Linked DNA regions of Drosophila melanogaster. The protein of the gene in region 1 interacts with the protein of each later gene in a biochemical or structural test. Each region holds a gene or a part of one and is shown on either strand. Other genes may lie near its edges.

Region 1 (4,928 bases):
AGGTATGCTGCTTCTAGCAATATTAGAGGAAAGCAAACAATAGGAGTATTTAAATTATTTAATTTTTAATTACATAAACTTGCCATTAGTTAGTTACGCGAAATAATAAGAGGGAGCTTAATTTCGTGTGGAAAATGAACGATGAATGGTAGCAATGCTTGATTTCTGAGGCCACTGCACACCCTCGCCGTATGGTCTGCAGATGAGTTCCACTTCCTGGAGAACAGAAGAAGCAGCAGCTAGTCCTGCGCCCGCTGCTTCTTTCGTTTGCGACGGGGTTTGCGCTTTTTCTTCCGCTCCTATTTGCGCGAACCCTTGCCGCCTTCGTCCTTGCCCTTGTCGGCCTTCTCCTCCGCCTTCTTGCCGTCCTTGTCCTTGGTCTCCTTGTTGTCCTTATCCTTGCTATCCTTATTCTTCTCCTTGGCCTCCTTGCTGTCGCTCTTGCCCTCCTCGGCGTCGCGGTTGGCCAGCTTGTTGTTGATCAGGTTGTGCAGGGCAATGATCGAGCGCACCATGGAGGCCAGGTAGACGACTAGCATTTGGTCGTTGGTCTTCACATACATTGTGCCCGTGAACTGGTCATTGGTTATATCGGGCAGCAGGTTGAAGATGTCCTGCAGCTGGTAGACAATCTGGTGGTTGATTGGCATCTTGCTGTCGCCGACGCGCTGCAGATACTGCTTTATGTCCCGCAGCTGGGCATTCAGGCCTTTCAGACCCATGAGCTGGTTGGTGATCTTTTGCGACAGGCTGCCCACGGTTGTGTCCTTGATGTCACGCAGCAGATGCTCCACGCCCACCTCCTCCGCCTCCTCGGCGCCAATCTCGCTGGGCACATGCTCGAAAGTTTTGCTGGTCGGAGAGCCGTCGTCATGGACTTCCTCCACCGATATGTACGCCTCTGTGGGCAGGCCCAAATCCTTGGGCTTGGCGTCGATGATGACCAGCACGGAGTTGGGACAATAGCGCCGGACCAGCTCGTTGATGGCTATGTCGTTTTGGTGGAGCTTGGGACCTGTGTGATACCATCCCACAACCCGTTCCCTGGCGTTCACCTTTTTGAACATGCCGTACATATTCTCCAGGTAGTCGTGGTCCAGGAACCACACCGACTTGTCCTTGTCATCCTCGTCGAAGGGCACTGGAAGTCGGGAGGGAATTCTTTTGTTTTATGGCCACGACTTTGGATATTCAAAGGCAGTACTAACCTGCGAAGCTGTTGGACACATCGAGCACTCCCTTGGATCGCCAGCAGCCCAGAAGGACTCCCACTACGCGCTTCTGGTTGCCAATCTTTCCCATCCGGTTGAAGTGATCCACCACGGACAGCAGAACCAATGGATGCACTATCACTTTGTTTACGCTCACCTCCTGCGACGGCATGTTTGTGCTTTTTCTGGGTTTTCGGTTCGGGGGCTTACTATGACCTCTGCGCCGATTGATAGGTACCGGACTGATTTGTTTTCGACGGGTTTGGCTTCCTGCGACTCCTGTTTTTCGCTAAATTACCTGCAATTTGCGGCAAAAAACTCAGGCCAAAATGACAAGCAGAAACGATTTACAGTGTGGCCGACGCCTCGCTTTCTGAATTTATTTCAAGGCAAGCAAAAGCATGCTTTTCTAAAAATGATTAACTGGTCACACTCGGACTCGGAATACAGCATATTAAATATAACATATTCATTATTTTCCTACACTTACATTTTAGAACAATAAAGTTGTCGTGTTCTGGAAAGTAGTGAATTGATATCGATTTTCTACAGCTGTTAAGAAAACCTAATAGTTCTATATGTTATAAAGGGAAGGGTATAGGAGGACCGGATTGCTGGTGTATAAAATCACCCATCCTTGGTATTTTTGGAGTTTTGTTGAACGGCCACACAATGCTGGTGGAAAAATCATGAGAGGAAAAGCGCCGTGCAAACAGTTAGAAAGTGCGCAATCGGACAGCGGAAGTGCGGAAAAGAACGTTTGCTGAGGCTGCACCTGCCGAAAACCAGCTGTAAAGCAAAGTAACTAAGCAGCAGCCGACTTAACTTATTATTTCCCCCTCTGCGTGTGTGTTTGCATAAGTGTGTGTTGTTTCTGTTTTTGCCCTTGGCGAAGGCAAATAGTGCTGCTCTCTTCTGGCACAGATGACCTAAACGGCCATTTTTCGCCGGCGCTGCCAGATCGCCAAACAGGGTGCAATTGCAGCTCAGTGGCAACACGAAGCGTTTGCGCGAGAGAAATTTCCAAGCATTTTCGGGGTAAAATACGCTTCAAATGGCTTAGTGTGCGGCAAAAACAGTCAAAATAGCGATAGTGCAGTGATAGATAAAGCCGAAAACCGTGAAAGTGACTGTGTACGAATGAGGTAATACCCCATTCCGTTTGCGTGCGTCCTCAAGTTTCACGCCCATTCGCCGCTATACTTGCTCCGTAATCATCAATGGGATGTTGAATTTAGTTAAAAGTGCGCGTGTTGTTTACAAATTTCACGAATTACGAGCTGAGCAGTGCGAATTGAAGGCGCCTCTACGAATTAGTCAGCTTTGGCATCCGTAAATCCCGGGTTTCGCTGCAATTTCGGCGTAAATAGGTGTTCGGGTGTCCGTCTTGAAGGGGGAGAGGGGCTTAAAAGCCCAGAGACCAGCTCACAAATACTCGCAAGCAGAGACACACGCACACACACACACGCACGCTCTTTTGTCTACGTCTTTGACTTTTTCTCGTTTGTAATCATTTCCCTCCCATTCGTACGTGTTTTTTCTACAAATATTAGAGCTCGCTAGCTGCTAATTAAATTATAAAACATACAGAACACAGAAGCGCTAAAGACGGGCCAACCAAGCCCACAATCCCCGCTTTTTGGCCTATTTCGCTGAACAAAAAAAGAGAAGGAACCGAGGAGAGAGTGCTGCAAAGAAGGTGAGTTTAGGCCACGATATCTGGGCTATGGTCTGCGTTCTAGAACGGGGCAGTTCCACCCCGGATTCCGATTCAGAATGAGATTCAGATTGAAACTTAGAGCTAGACTTGAAACCCTGCCAAGTCTGTGATATACACCTGCCCGTTCAATCAATAAACGCTTGCCAATGTCCGCAGCTTTCACCAAATCTAGTTTTCCTGCTTGGACTCTCGCCCAGGAGCTCACTATGTAGACTCAACCCAAGAAATCATCATCGTCAGCAGAAGCAGGGGAAATCTACAAGAGAGCCAACATGTCGTTTATCACCAACCTGAAGAAGGTCTTCCACCTCGGCGGGGGTGAGGCCAAGAAGAAGCGCCTGTACAACAACATCAAGATGGACACGGATCCGGCGGAGTTCTGGGAAATGGTCGGCGAACTGGGCGACGGAGCCTTTGGCAAGGTTTACAAGGCTCAGCACAAGGAGCAGAAGCGATTTGCTGCCGCAAAAATGTGTCAGCTGGAGGACGAGGAGAACCTTAGCGATCACATGGTCGAGATCGACATTCTGTCGGAGATCAAGCACCCAAATATAGTGGAGCTGTATGAGGCCTTTTCCATCGATGATAAGCTGTGGGTGAGTATATCGATGTACTTCAAGTTTTATCGGGATTATGAATCATTCCTTGAAATTCCTCTCAGATGCTCATCGAGTACTGCGACGGAGGGGCCCTGGATAGCATTATGGTGGAGCTGGAAAAGCCGCTGACTGAGCCGCAGATTGCCTATGTTTGCAAGCACATGACCGAGGGTCTCACCTTCCTGCATCGCAACAAAGTCATCCATCGTGATTTGAAGGCAGGAAACGTGCTTCTCACAATGGAAGGTGGCGTCAAGTTGGGTAAGTTATCGGTGCCCTTTTCCTAAGCCGAGACGATCTCAAAGTGAAATCAACTCATTTCAGCGGACTTTGGCGTTTCGGCCAAAAACAAGCACACCATGCAAAAGCACGACACCTTCATTGGCACTCCCTACTGGATGGCCCCGGAGCTGGTGCTTTGCGAAACTTTCCGGGACAACCCGTACGATCACAAAGTGGACATCTGGTCACTGGGCATCACGCTCATTGAGCTGGCGCAGATGGAGCCGCCCAACAGCGAGATGTCGCCCATGCGAGTGCTCTTGAAAATACAAAAGAGCGAGCCGCCCAAGCTGGAGCAGCCTTCTCGATGGAGCAAGGAGTTTAACGACTTCCTGAAGAAGTCCTTAGTCAAAGTGGGTAACCCTAAAATCTGTTATTTACATTCCATTCTAACTTTACTTTTGTATTCCTTCTGAACAGGATCCGCAGGTGAGGCCCACGACGGATGTGCTGATGCAGCACGCTTTCATCAACAGAAATCTGGATGCCAAGCCTATCAAGGATCTGCTGCTTGAGTACAAGGCCGAGGTCGTGGAAGAGGTGGTGGATGATGAGACCGAGGTGAGTGCGCCTTGGAAGCCCATGGATCCCTGTGCCCAGCACCGCACCCTTGTAGTCCAACTGCTAGATGTGATGATAATTTCTACGTTCTCTCACCTCTCCAACTGCTCTTTCTTCTCTCTTACACGCTGCCGCCTGAAAACCCAACCAAATCGCACCGCGCGATACATTATTTTATATGTTTATCTTCGTTTCTTCTCGACTATTCTTTGCCTTGCGTTTATGTTACGTTCTGTTTTGTTCCGCCAAAATGTCGCAATGTTTGTTCTTATCATTTGTATGTGGTTACTTGGAAATAATTGATATAGAAGCTTAAACGCCAAGTGAAGCGGCGCTCGCTCTATCAGAGGGTTGGTAAGTCGTTCTACAGCAAGCCGTCCGTGCTCCGTCCGTTCCTGGCACCCGCACCCCTCCCCTCCTCTGTTTCTGCATCCCAGGCACTGTCCTTCAAAAGCGGACCCACAATTAGTTTACTTATTTTATCAGCATTGCCAAATGCCGCTTATCACTTAGCTCCTCTGTCGGAGGCATACTTCGCTCGTTGTGTTTGTTATT
Region 2 (7,258 bases), on another chromosome or scaffold:
AAACATTTCGTTTCGATAAGTACGACAAGACACGAAACAACAAAATGTCTCCAAAAGCGGTAAGTTAACCAATAACTATAAAATAATAAATAATTAGTACTGATTAGACAGTATTATAATAAGTTCGAAATATTCCATTATAATGGTAACCATATATCACTGGAATGAAACCACAAACGAATCTGATAAAACAAATGTTTTGCACTAGCGCCTAGTAAATTATTAAAGATTAGTTATATTAAATCACAACGAAAAGTTTGTCAGCTATCAGCTATCGGAAATTGTGTTCTTATCAAGAGAGCACTTCAGCTACAATTGTCGTCAATTGTGGAGTGTTGGGATCGCATCGCATCTTTTAATAGAACTTCTTCTGGGGGGGAATGGGGATGGCCAGGCGAAGACGTCATATTGGCCCAACTGTTGACGTTGGTAATTGTATTTGATTCTTGGACATTTGCCAAAAAAAATTTCATCATTTCATCAGATACGCAGACGGCGAAAAATTGGATTAGAAGACGACGTCATTGATATGAACACATGAGTAGATCATTATTTCATACCAAAGCATTTGCCAATTTCTTTTTGACATGTTGTGATTTCTTTTTTTTTTTTTTTGGCAACCGGAAAAGTTCTTATCTCACCCAGCGATGGTCTAATGACATTTTTGCCTCAACTTGATTGTTAATGAATGATGTATTTGTTATGAGTTCATCATGACAATCAAACACGTGATTTGAAGTGATTTTATAATACAATTTGGATGATTGAAAGGTGATTTTTGCACAAAGCTTTAAGAAGTCGTTTGCCTTTTAGGGAAATTTCTCTGTTCCAATGCAGTAGTCGATGCACATCGTGCTTGAATGGTTTCTCCATAACTTTCCCTTTTTCGCTATAGTTTTTCTCATCCATAACTAGATGTTTATTGGTCTGTTTGAATAGCTTGATATGTGAGTGCGGAGTGGGGAGGGGGGAGGGGTTTAATTGCTATTTGAGGCCCAAAAGCGGCATCAATAAAACAGAATTGACAGCCAACGCGTCGTATGATTGACGCTGATTTGTTTGCCTACCTTGGGGCTGCGTTTCTACGGCGCTCTCTCGTGCTCTTCGGCGCACAGCGCTGGCCAAATGACTAGTGTTCAAACTAAAAATTAGCTAACTATACAGCTAATTCAATCAATAATTCATTTAGAGAATTGGTTGTGTTTTGATTTATATATATATTTTTTAAATATATTTTACCATATTGCACTATTTACTTGACCCCCATTGCATTCACATACTTCTCTCGTTCTGGAAAACCCATTTGACCTCTATGGTCAGCAGTTCTTTTCTTTATGGTTGCGGCTGTCCACTTTTAGATGCATAATTAACATGCAATTTATATTAACTTGACAACGAATGACTGGGATAAAAATTTTCCCATTTTCTTGGGCAGAAATTAAGTTCATTTTGTGTTGTGTTGTGTGTTCCCTTAGCGTTTCTTTTGCGTTCTGCCGCCGCCGCCGCTTTCCCAGTGTTGTTTTTTGTTTTTCTTCTCTTCTAGCATTTATTTTCCTTTTGCCTTTTGCGCTTGTCTTCCCCATTTGGCGACTTAAAAACGTGCCGTGACTTTTCCATTTTCCTCAGTTGCCGCTGGACAACAGAATCGAATCGTCGCTTTTCCGCTTTTAACCATCGTGTCGCGTTGGTCGGTTGGTTTTCCCGCGTAGCTTGTGGCTGCTCAAGAATATATATATATTTCCCAGACGGAGATTTGCATTGAAAAGGCGTAATAATTCAAAAGCTACTGCGCAATCCGTTTTCGGTGCCCAAAATGGTCGTCGTCTCCGACAGCCGCGTCCGTTTGCCGCGTTACGGCGGAGTCAGCGTCAAACGGAAAACGGTACGGACCACACTGCTCACTATTTTCCACGTTTTTCCTGCTAAGCTGGAAAAGCGCATCCCCCTTTTCTTTTTTTTTTTTTTCATGTGCTGCACTTTTGTGGTTTCAAGTCAAAAACCATTTTTTTTTCTTTTTTAAAAACTGGTTATTATGCTCCAACTTCCGTTGCAAATAGCTGTTGTGTTTTTCATTCTCAGCGGCCAGGGGGAGAAAAAAACAAAGCAGAAACCACGGTGGTTGCATTAACCCAAAAACGTTAATTGGATTGAAATGAAAAACGTTTTCAATTTCCTAACATTGTGTCACGTTTGATTTGCATTCAGCAGCCGAAAGCGAAAACAAAACAATGAGCCCTCGGACTGAAAAGCAAAACCGAGCCAAACAAAATGATGAAGTTAAAAAATTTTAATTTGTTGGGTCTACCACACATTGTTTTTTCCCATGCCCAGAAAATGGTAACAAAAACCAGCGGATTTTCAAAGGGCCTTTAAAACTGAAATTGGTTCAATCAATCTTAACAGATAGGAAATAAAATAGTTTAAAAAAATTTGTAGCTGATTTAGGTATTTAGCAAAATTCCTTTGTATATTTCAATAAAGTAAAGGAATATTTTAAACGAATGGTTTTTAATGTAAGACTTACATTTGTTGGCCATGTTGTAAAAAGCGAACTGAATTGTTAGTTATATATACTCTATTGTCTGCGCTGCATATTAACCCCAATTTTGATCTACGATCGCATTTACTTTGATCCAAATGTGGCGATTGCGCAATGGTATGTAGTGTAGTTAGTACAGGTTGACATGTGCATGTGCTGTGTGTCCGACGTTGGGTGGCGATGTGGGTGGAATTTCCCTAGCTTTTCCGCCATTTCACATTGCAAGTTGGTCAAGTGGCACGCGCAGTGGGATAGATAGCGGCTGAGCTCTCTCTTTCTATCTCTCTCTTGTATAACCACCGATTACCACTCGCTGGCCATCCGGTCTATATTCCCATACACACACACACACACACACACGCACACCCCACACCCTGTGTTTTCCCCCCACTTATTTCCACTATCTAGAGCTGCCTGGTCATTTCCAGCTTGTTGCTATTGTCATGCCTGATTGATTTTTGCTTTGCTGTTTTCCAAGCGTGATTTTTCACTGCGGCCCGCTTTCATTTTCCCTCTTTCCATTTTGCCCTCCATTTTCCCCCATTTCCCCCCATTTTTTCAAGCATTTTTCACCCATTTGAAACGTGTGTGTGCGCGCGTTTAAGTCGAAAGCCCGACTTATGCAAGTCGTGGCAATCGAATCCAATCCTCCAAAGCGAAACGGGAGCTCTTGGCACGTGCCCTGCTCACATCCCGTTAATCCATCGACCCCTAAACAAATCGTGGGGGATTCTCCTCTGCACGCCACCTTCATCGATGGGTGTCAATTTTTTACTCTTTTTTTTTTCTATTTGGCTTGTGAGCATGCCCAGTTAGTTTGATCTAGTTAGCTTTTCATGTCATGGATGATGGCACTTTTAACTTAAGAAATGCAGCAAAAGAAACAAATAAGTTACATTTAATTAATAAAACATTCTGTTTGATTCATTCGTTTTTAGTTTGCCTTCTAAAGGCAATGCTTTGTTCTTTTATATATATATATATATATATATTTTTGCGTTATTTTAATCATTTAATACGATATTTTTTTAATATCACGACATCCCTTACTAATTTCAGCTAAATGTGCGCGTCACGACAATGGACGCGGAACTGGAGTTCGCCATTCAGTCGACGACGACGGGCAAGCAATTGTTTGACCAGGTGGTGAAGACGATCGGCCTGCGAGAGGTTTGGTTCTTTGGACTCCAGTACACCGACTCCAAGGGCGACTCCACATGGATCAAGCTGTACAAAAAGGTAGGCGACTATAAATTTCATACAAATAAAGTTTGAAGTTTATAGTTCAAAAGAATATAAATTTAAATTATTTACTAAGATTGCATGTACATCATAATATTTATAAATGTAATGTATGGTACATACATAATATAGCCCGAATCGCCGGCCATAAAGACAATAAAATATTTAAAGCGTGTAAAGAAGTATGTGGACAAAAAGACAGCCGACAGCAATGGAGTAAATCATTTAGAGACGAGCGAAGAGGATGACGACGCCGATGATATGGTGGGCAGAGATCGAGAATATATTTATATATATATATATATGCCAATCCAGCAAAGTACATCCACAAAAAGTCCCAGCTAGAACATAAACCGAATTATCCTGTAAAATGCCAATTCTATAATTGTATTGTATCGCCTCGCCTTCGAATGCTTAGCTTAAGTTAATTAGCGATTGTTAGAGACTTGATTTACTAATACAAATGCAATCTCTGTATATGATTTAATGCTGCACCACAACAACAAACAGACTGGATCAATGCCGTTTTCGACATGGGTAACACTCAGACGCCGCATGCACTTTTTTATCTATGATATTATGTTTATTATTTCATTATTGAATCGGGAAAACCAAACGTTTTTTTTTTTTTCGTATACAAATCCATTTGCAGTTTGTAAACTTTAGCGTGCATTCGCATCTAATAGTGATATGTTTTCGCTTTTCACAGGTGATGAACCAGGACGTGAAGAAGGAGAATCCCTTGCAGTTTAGGTTCCGTGCCAAATTCTATCCCGAGGATGTGGCCGAGGAGCTGATCCAGGACATTACACTGCGTCTGTTCTACCTGCAGGTGAAGAATGCCATACTGACCGACGAGATCTATTGTCCGCCAGAGACATCCGTGCTGCTCGCCTCGTACGCCGTCCAGGCGCGTCATGGTGACCACAATAAGACCACCCACACAGCCGGCTTTCTGGCCAACGATCGCCTGCTGCCGCAGCGCGTCATCGACCAGCACAAGATGTCCAAGGACGAGTGGGAGCAGTCGATTATGACCTGGTGGCAGGAGCATCGCAGCATGCTGCGCGAGGATGCCATGATGGAGTATCTGAAGATCGCCCAAGACCTGGAGATGTACGGCGTTAACTACTTTGAGATCCGCAACAAGAAGGGCACGGATCTTTGGCTGGGCGTAGACGCACTGGGTCTGAACATTTACGAGCAGGACGATAGGTTGACGCCGAAAATTGGTTTCCCATGGTCCGAGATTCGCAACATTTCGTTCTCGGAGAAGAAGTTCATCATCAAGCCGATCGACAAGAAGGCTCCGGACTTTATGTTCTTTGCGCCACGTGTCCGCATCAACAAGCGCATTCTGGCCCTCTGCATGGGCAACCACGAGCTGTACATGCGTCGCCGCAAGCCGGACACCATCGATGTGCAGCAGATGAAGGCGCAGGCGCGCGAGGAGAAGAATGCCAAACAGCAGGAACGGTTAGTACGGATTTCAAGTCATGTCTGTTTGAATGAATCAAAACTTTGGGAATTTCAACGAAATACAACGTTTCAATGACCCGAAACATAATGATTCGAGCATATCATTTCCATGAGAGTCTGATTCATGCACAGGCTATAATCTGCAAGCAGATGATTCCCTTCTTATTTTCGGTGTTCTTTCGTTTTTGCAGTGAGAAGCTGCAGCTGGCGCTGGCCGCACGCGAACGCGCTGAAAAGAAGCAGCAGGAGTACGAGGATCGGCTAAAGCAGATGCAGGAGGACATGGAGCGTTCGCAGCGCGATCTGCTTGAGGCGCAGGACATGATCCGCCGGCTGGAGGAGCAGCTGAAGCAGCTGCAGGCCGCCAAGGATGAGCTGGAGCTGCGCCAGAAGGAGCTGCAGGCGATGCTGCAGCGCCTCGAGGAGGCCAAGAATATGGAGGCCGTCGAGAAGCTCAAGCTCGAGGAGGAGATCATGGCCAAGCAGATGGAGGTGCAGCGCATTCAGGACGAGGTCAACGCCAAGGATGAGGAGACAAAGCGTCTGCAGGACGAAGTGGAAGACGCCCGACGCAAGCAGGTCATTGCGGTACACTTTTTTCACTATTTGTTGGCATCGAAAAAACCAATGAATATAGTCTTGATACCATTTTGTGTTCAACTTTATACTGAACATTGTCGTTTTTGTAGGCTGAAGCCGCTGCCGCTCTGCTGGCCGCGTCGACAACGCCGCAGCATCACCACGTGGCCGAGGATGAGAACGAGAACGAGGAGGAGCTGACGAACGGCGATGCCGGTGGCGATGTGTCGCGCGACCTGGACACCGACGAGCATATCAAGGACCCCATCGAGGACAGACGCACGCTGGCCGAGCGCAACGAACGCTTGCACGATCAGCTCAAGGTGGGTTCGAAATCGAGTCCCTTATGCTCCACTCAACTAACAATATCAATTTGATATATATATATATCTATATCTAGGCTCTGAAACAAGATTTGGCGCAGTCTCGCGACGAGACGAAAGAGACGGCAAACGATAAGATTCATCGCGAGAACGTTCGCCAGGGACGTGACAAGTACAAGACGCTCCGCGAGATTCGTAAGGGCAACACAAAGCGTCGCGTCGATCAGTTTGAGAACATGTAAAAGCTATCAAAGATCAGAGATCGATAGTGCGCGGGAAAGAGAGAGGGAGCGGTGAGACTCCAGAAAGAAAAAGAAAAAGATATAACTACAGCAAGAGCAGATAATAATAATGATGATTGATAATGATGAAGATGATGATGAAGAATAAGCAACAAATATAATTCCGGTCGCTGGCAAAAGCCTATTGCTAACTATCCCACCAGCGACGACCCTTTTCCACCCATAAGAACACTTCCTGCCTCCTAAAGTGAATTGAAATGAAATATACTTTGTTTGACCGTCGTTTTGTCTCGCAGCTTTTGTATAGAAGAATCAAGAATAAGCAAAAAGAAAAAAAGAAAAAATAAATTAATGGAAACTAATTTAGCCGGACACAGCACTCATCAATATGAATAGAATGAGAAGACGGTTAGGAAGGACCGCATCTATATGGACAATCAGCAAATGAATGAGGATCAAGCTATCGGAAAATATGTCTAAATCCAAGCAGAAGCAATAGAAAATATACATTTCTCCTTTTCCCAATGGATTCATTGAGAAAACGGAACGAATAGTAATAGATATTGAAAAGGAACATCAGCAACAATAAACAACAACAACATCAACAACAACAAGAACAGCTACTACAACAAAACAAACAACTATTTGCATTTTCCCCCGTTATAATTATTATTTTTATTATTATATAATTACTATTTTTTTTAAATTTGTATAATTAAATAAGAACTTGATTAATTGTTTCTTAAATTAACTTGAGAGAGAGCAACAAACAAAAAGAGAAAAAATATATTATATAAAATATTTTTCTTTAATCTATTTTTGTTTTGCAAGAAAAGAAAGATTCTTAAAAAAAA
Region 3 (4,624 bases), on another chromosome or scaffold:
GAGCATTAATATTTGTGAAGTGTACTAATATCTTGGCGGATGCTGAGCGTCCCCACGTCTACGTCCGAAATATTTGGTAGATGTGGAGCCGATGCACTGCCCACACAGTGGAGCATGGAGTGAAAATGAGCTCCGATCTCGATTTCTTTATGTTTCCGAAGCGTGTTTATGTGGCGGGCATTCCAAAACCGAAGCCCACTGCTAATAAGGTCGAAACGCTCGAAAAAGTGAGAGAGACTGAAAATAACAACAGCTTTAAACGAGCGCATTGACATTTCGAGATAATGGATAAATAATATACAAAATACGCCCACAAAATGGAGCGACGGCGAAATTTGCCAAACAATCGGACAAAAAATGTGTAGAAAACAGGACAAAAGCCAGAGAAATTATGACAAAACATCGAAAGACGCGAGATATTTAAATCGGTGAAGAGAAGAGCGAGGAAAGAGCGTAACAAAAAAAAACAATAAATCTACGTACAGATACCAAACAAATCTTAGCGTACGTTGTATCTTAAAGATAAATCGCATTTGTGGAGGAGGGGAGTGGGAGGCCAGCCGCCAGCTGCTAGGCAAGCAAGAAATATAGAATGAAATATCTATATGTTTGTGTACACAGAGAATAATATAGTATTTTTTTGATAAACAGTAATATAAATAATGCAGTACTTCTTGATTACATAATCAAATACTATACATTGTTGTTGAATGGAACCCTTTGCTCAGGTTTATATCCATATACAAATACAAAAAAAAGCATCATCGTGAAAAGCGAATTATGCTAATCTGACTAGTCCTAAGATTTCGCTAGCACGTCATAAGATATAGCCTAGTGATCTATTATAATCCAAATTTTTTCTCTGTGGACCAGCGTAGTCAGGGGCAGACATCAAACGGCAGACGTCGACGCTGGCGCCGGCAGCGCGATGAGGTAATTTTCAGCTTGTTTTCTAAAACGCTCGACATCCGAAATGGGGAAAAGGGTTTTCCGATGGGTTTTTGGCGCGCATCGCGCAGGCGCAACGTGCATTTGGCGTTTGAACTTAGTTACACAATGGAACTGCCTTTTTGTGGCACATATTCCACTCGGAATGGATAAAAATAACACCATATGTCACACACTTATGACCGCGCACTCTCGTCATGTATATACCTTCTTTAATTCCCACAATTGGGCTGGAAACTCTTTTGATATTTGAACTTGAACGATATGCACGATATGCGATATTCATATATGTACGAATCGCCTATACATATATATGGGTAGATATATGTATATATATATATATTTCAATAGCGATATCGGGCGCGGCACAATCGAACGAATTGGCACCGACGACGGACGAAACTCGAATGAGCGGGCCATAGAAGCGAGTGGTTCGCTCGGTTCCATGGGCAGTGTGAGCAGCATGAGCAACAGATGGGAGAGCCGCGAAGAGAGCCACCTGCTGCTAGGCTTCTCTCCTCTCTGATTCTTCCGATTCTCCTGATCGCCGTCTGCAAATGTAAACAAAACAAAAGGTGCCAGCCAGAGGGAGGGCGGTGAAATGAAGGGGCAGCGGAGGAGAAGGTAGTGGCCACAAGGTGATGGACCCGTGCCAGTGGTGACTAATCTTTTGTTGCCCAACTTATGGCTCTTTCTTTCTTCTCAAAAGTGAGCAGAGAGGAAGCGAGAAATTGGAAGAGGAAGTGCGCTTAGTCACATGGGGTTTTCTAAGAAATGGACATTACTCCTGCTTTTCAAGGGCTAAGCTAGTCAAGCGATTGGAGCGTTGTAAGTATTAGTATTTTGAAATGTTTTGGTAATGACGTTTTGTTTTGATGATGTTATATGACCCAAACATTTCTTATCTATAATATCAATGACTCTTTGACGGACTAGATTATTCCCCAAAAGGAATGCTTCTAAACAATCAACAATATTAACGTAATCTTTATGGGTTCAAATCTCTATAGATACTATAATCTAAACAGGACCAGTCTCTTTTTAGGAAAGTATCTGCATTTAAAACTCTTACACAAACAGAATACATGAGAAATTTCAATCTCAGTTGAAATAATTGAATACAACAGTTTCCAAAAACGTGCATAAACAAAGGAGGCAAAATAATAGCCTGTTGACTTCAATTAGGTCCAATTATTGACGCAATTGAGGGCCTGATCCCGGGAAGAGTGAATCTCTATGCCACTGACAGCGGGATGTAGGCACGAGTCTTGTGGGTCCTCGTCTCGGATCTTTGAGGGTTGCAGTTGCACAGCTAACTCCACAATTAACTTGAGAATTGAAGGCAATTGCCAACTCCCGCGAATCCGGCGCTTCTTCTTCTTCTTCTTCAGCAACCGGGGGTTATCTTATCGCGTATGGAATGTACCCCATATACATATACACCATGCTATTCTGCACGCTCATCCAGCTGCTCAGATAAAGCCGTCAAACCAAACCAACTGCTGTGCTGATAATGCGAGGCAGTCGCAGTTGGACTCTCGTTAATTGAATTATATTCGCAGCTTTGGCTAAAAAAAAAATGTTGCACTTTAATTAGCATAAAACGTAGACGATGCTTACAAGCAAACAAACGAACAAACATACAAATGCGGGCGTTCCCTTTTTTTGCCCCCTTTTGTTGTTACACTGGAAACTTGGTTAAAAGGGCGGAATTCGCGTGACCGACAAAAACAAATGTGCGGGACATGTGGGAGAGACCAAAATCCGGACAGTCGGCGCCAACAACTGGGGGTAGGGATAACGATGATGACTCCACCCCGGAGGAGCACCCACTAGGCGGCAACAACAAAATGTGCGAACGAATCGAAATGAGTTCTTGTTGGCCAGGCCGCAGCTGAATCTCCACTGGCTTTGTTTGACGCGTTTTCATGCCGCGGGAAAGGGGCTTTAAACTGATTTGTGCACTTGGGGTTTTAAACATTGGTTAACTTACAGAAACACACGGCGAAAAGGGCTTAAAGAGAGCTAAAATCGAGTAAATAAAACTAACACTTTACAAAATATTCCGTAGTTAAGACAGTGTGACCGTGCGTCAAGCAGCTATCGATAAGTCATTGCGGCTATCGGAACCAATTAGCGTTTGGGTCACATAATTACAAAATAAATAAAAAATATATAAATTTACAAGTTCTAATCATAGTTTGCCTATACTTCTATAATATTTGAAATTACTACGGCAAGCAAAAAGTAGTCTGCACACAGAGCTGTTATGCCAATGGCAGACTGTTAAGTGCAGGGTCACCCCAAATGTAAAGGCATGAGCGCCAAATTTAAAATAAAACCCCCAACTAATGCAGTCTAACTAAAACAAGGCTTAAAGATTAAGCGATTTGTAGTCGAATCCTATAAAAACAACATATCCACATGATTAATGAAGGTTACAAGCCCCACCAAAGCGCACCCCCACACAAACTTGATAAATTTGTCTGGCTTTCCTGAATTTTCTCCGAGACGATCATCGTTTCCGTTTTGATTTCGGCGATTGGAGGGCAACCAAGTGTGCAACTTACAACCCTCAGAAAATAGACGAGCAATCTAAGGGCCGAAAAACAAAAACTAGCCAAAATCATAAAAATAAGCAAGCGAATTCATGACTTCGCCAAAGTCAACGGACCGCACATAGCGCGCGTCTTTGGGGGCCCTTTCACTGGGGTTGCTTTCCCTATAAGGCAGCGAAATAAAAATAAATTTAATGTTCCTGTTTTTTTCCCTTCTCCTTTCTCGACTTGTCAAGGATATCATATGCGCGAATACATGGGTATATGTGTACGCGTAATTTATGCTGCAAAACATCTCGAGCATAAACAGGAAACAAGCGTCCACGGTCCTTCTTTCGCAACACTCTTAAAAAATGAGAAGTAATTAAAGACAAGTTGCAAAATTATCAAAGGGGGGGATAAACATTCCTTTTGCTACTATCAAACTTGAATTTAATTATTGGAAATTTCAAGAGAAACATTTTAAAGCGAACTTTCAGAAAACCTTCATACATAAAACACTATATTCTTCATATAAAAATTTCTCTCTGTGCACAATGCCCGCCCCTGCGCGCTTGAGAAATTTCTTGAAACGAAGTCAAGTTCGTGGCTTGGGCGCAAATTCAATTAATTTCAATCGAACGCCTGTCGTTCTGGGCATCCGGCATTGGGCATTGGGCATTGAGCATTGATGTCCCGCGATTCGAGGCCTGCCAAACCGATACGCAGATAGAAGATGCAGGATGTGCAGATATGGACTCACCCCTCGGGCCGATAAATCTCGGAACTGGCACACTCGCTTTACACACACGCCCGTTATGACTGCTGGCCAAGGAGGAGCAAGCGAAATGGATGAGCAGAACGCATCGACATGTGTCCTGGTGCTCCTGCTGCGTCATTGCTTTAGTTCCGGTTGAGTTTGTGCCAGCGCTCGCCAAGATTTATGTCACTTTGTTGGCCCAACAAAGAGGCCAGGGAGTTTGGTTTTCGGTAATGGCAAATAAAAACCCGATTCGCAAATCCTTTCCTCGAGTGACCCACTTGGGATTTGGGACTTGGGACTGACCAGCAGCGAGGAGCAACGCTAATTGAGCGATCTTCCGGCTGGCTAATGGGTTAAACCGGCCAAGCCGAATGCC

Evidence for each region. The genes of interacting proteins can lie anywhere in the genome.
Region 2: of the proteins of Slik (region 1) and Moe, one has a biochemical effect on the other in vitro, tested with the Drosophila melanogaster proteins (one study listed by BioGRID).
Region 3: of the proteins of Slik (region 1) and rhea, one has a biochemical effect on the other in vitro, tested with the Drosophila melanogaster proteins (one study listed by BioGRID).

What each region holds. Positions count from the first base shown.
Region 1 is NT_033778.4:24,399,645-24,404,572, reverse strand, and holds the start of Slik (Sterile20-like kinase), read left to right. Parts: upstream 1-1,892; 5' UTR 1,893-2,012; intron 2,013-2,188; exon of another isoform or gene 2,189-2,738; intron 2,739-2,764; 5' UTR 2,765-2,910; intron 2,911-3,087; 5' UTR 3,088-3,203; coding exon 3,204-3,527; intron 3,528-3,592; coding exon 3,593-3,791; intron 3,792-3,854; coding exon 3,855-4,165; intron 4,166-4,232; coding exon 4,233-4,373; intron 4,374-4,469; exon of another isoform or gene 4,470-4,545; intron 4,546-4,681; coding exon of another isoform or gene 4,682-4,723; intron 4,724-4,928. Other genes in the region: Rpn8 (regulatory particle non-ATPase 8), read right to left, coding at 300-1,141, 1,209-1,383.
Region 2 is NC_004354.4:8,873,093-8,880,350, reverse strand, and holds Moe (moesin), read left to right. Parts: upstream 1-1,625; 5' UTR 1,626-1,813; coding exon 1,814-1,882; intron 1,883-3,189; exon of another isoform or gene 3,190-3,295; coding exon of another isoform or gene 3,296-3,337; intron 3,338-3,598; coding exon 3,599-3,778; intron 3,779-3,913; coding exon 3,914-4,045; intron 4,046-4,291; coding exon 4,292-4,318; intron 4,319-4,329; exon of another isoform or gene 4,330-4,490; coding exon 4,491-5,257; intron 5,258-5,451; coding exon 5,452-5,848; intron 5,849-5,949; coding exon 5,950-6,162; intron 6,163-6,239; coding exon 6,240-6,404; 3' UTR 6,405-6,728; downstream 6,729-7,258. UniProt on the Drosophila melanogaster protein: Involved in connections of major cytoskeletal structures to the plasma membrane. Together with wgn, involved in control of axon targeting of R8 and R2-R5 photoreceptors, independent of egr.
Region 3 is NT_037436.4:8,543,407-8,548,030, reverse strand, and holds the start of rhea (rhea), read right to left. Parts: upstream 3,031-4,624; 5' UTR 2,942-3,030; intron 1,357-2,941; exon of another isoform or gene 1,156-1,356; intron 1-1,155.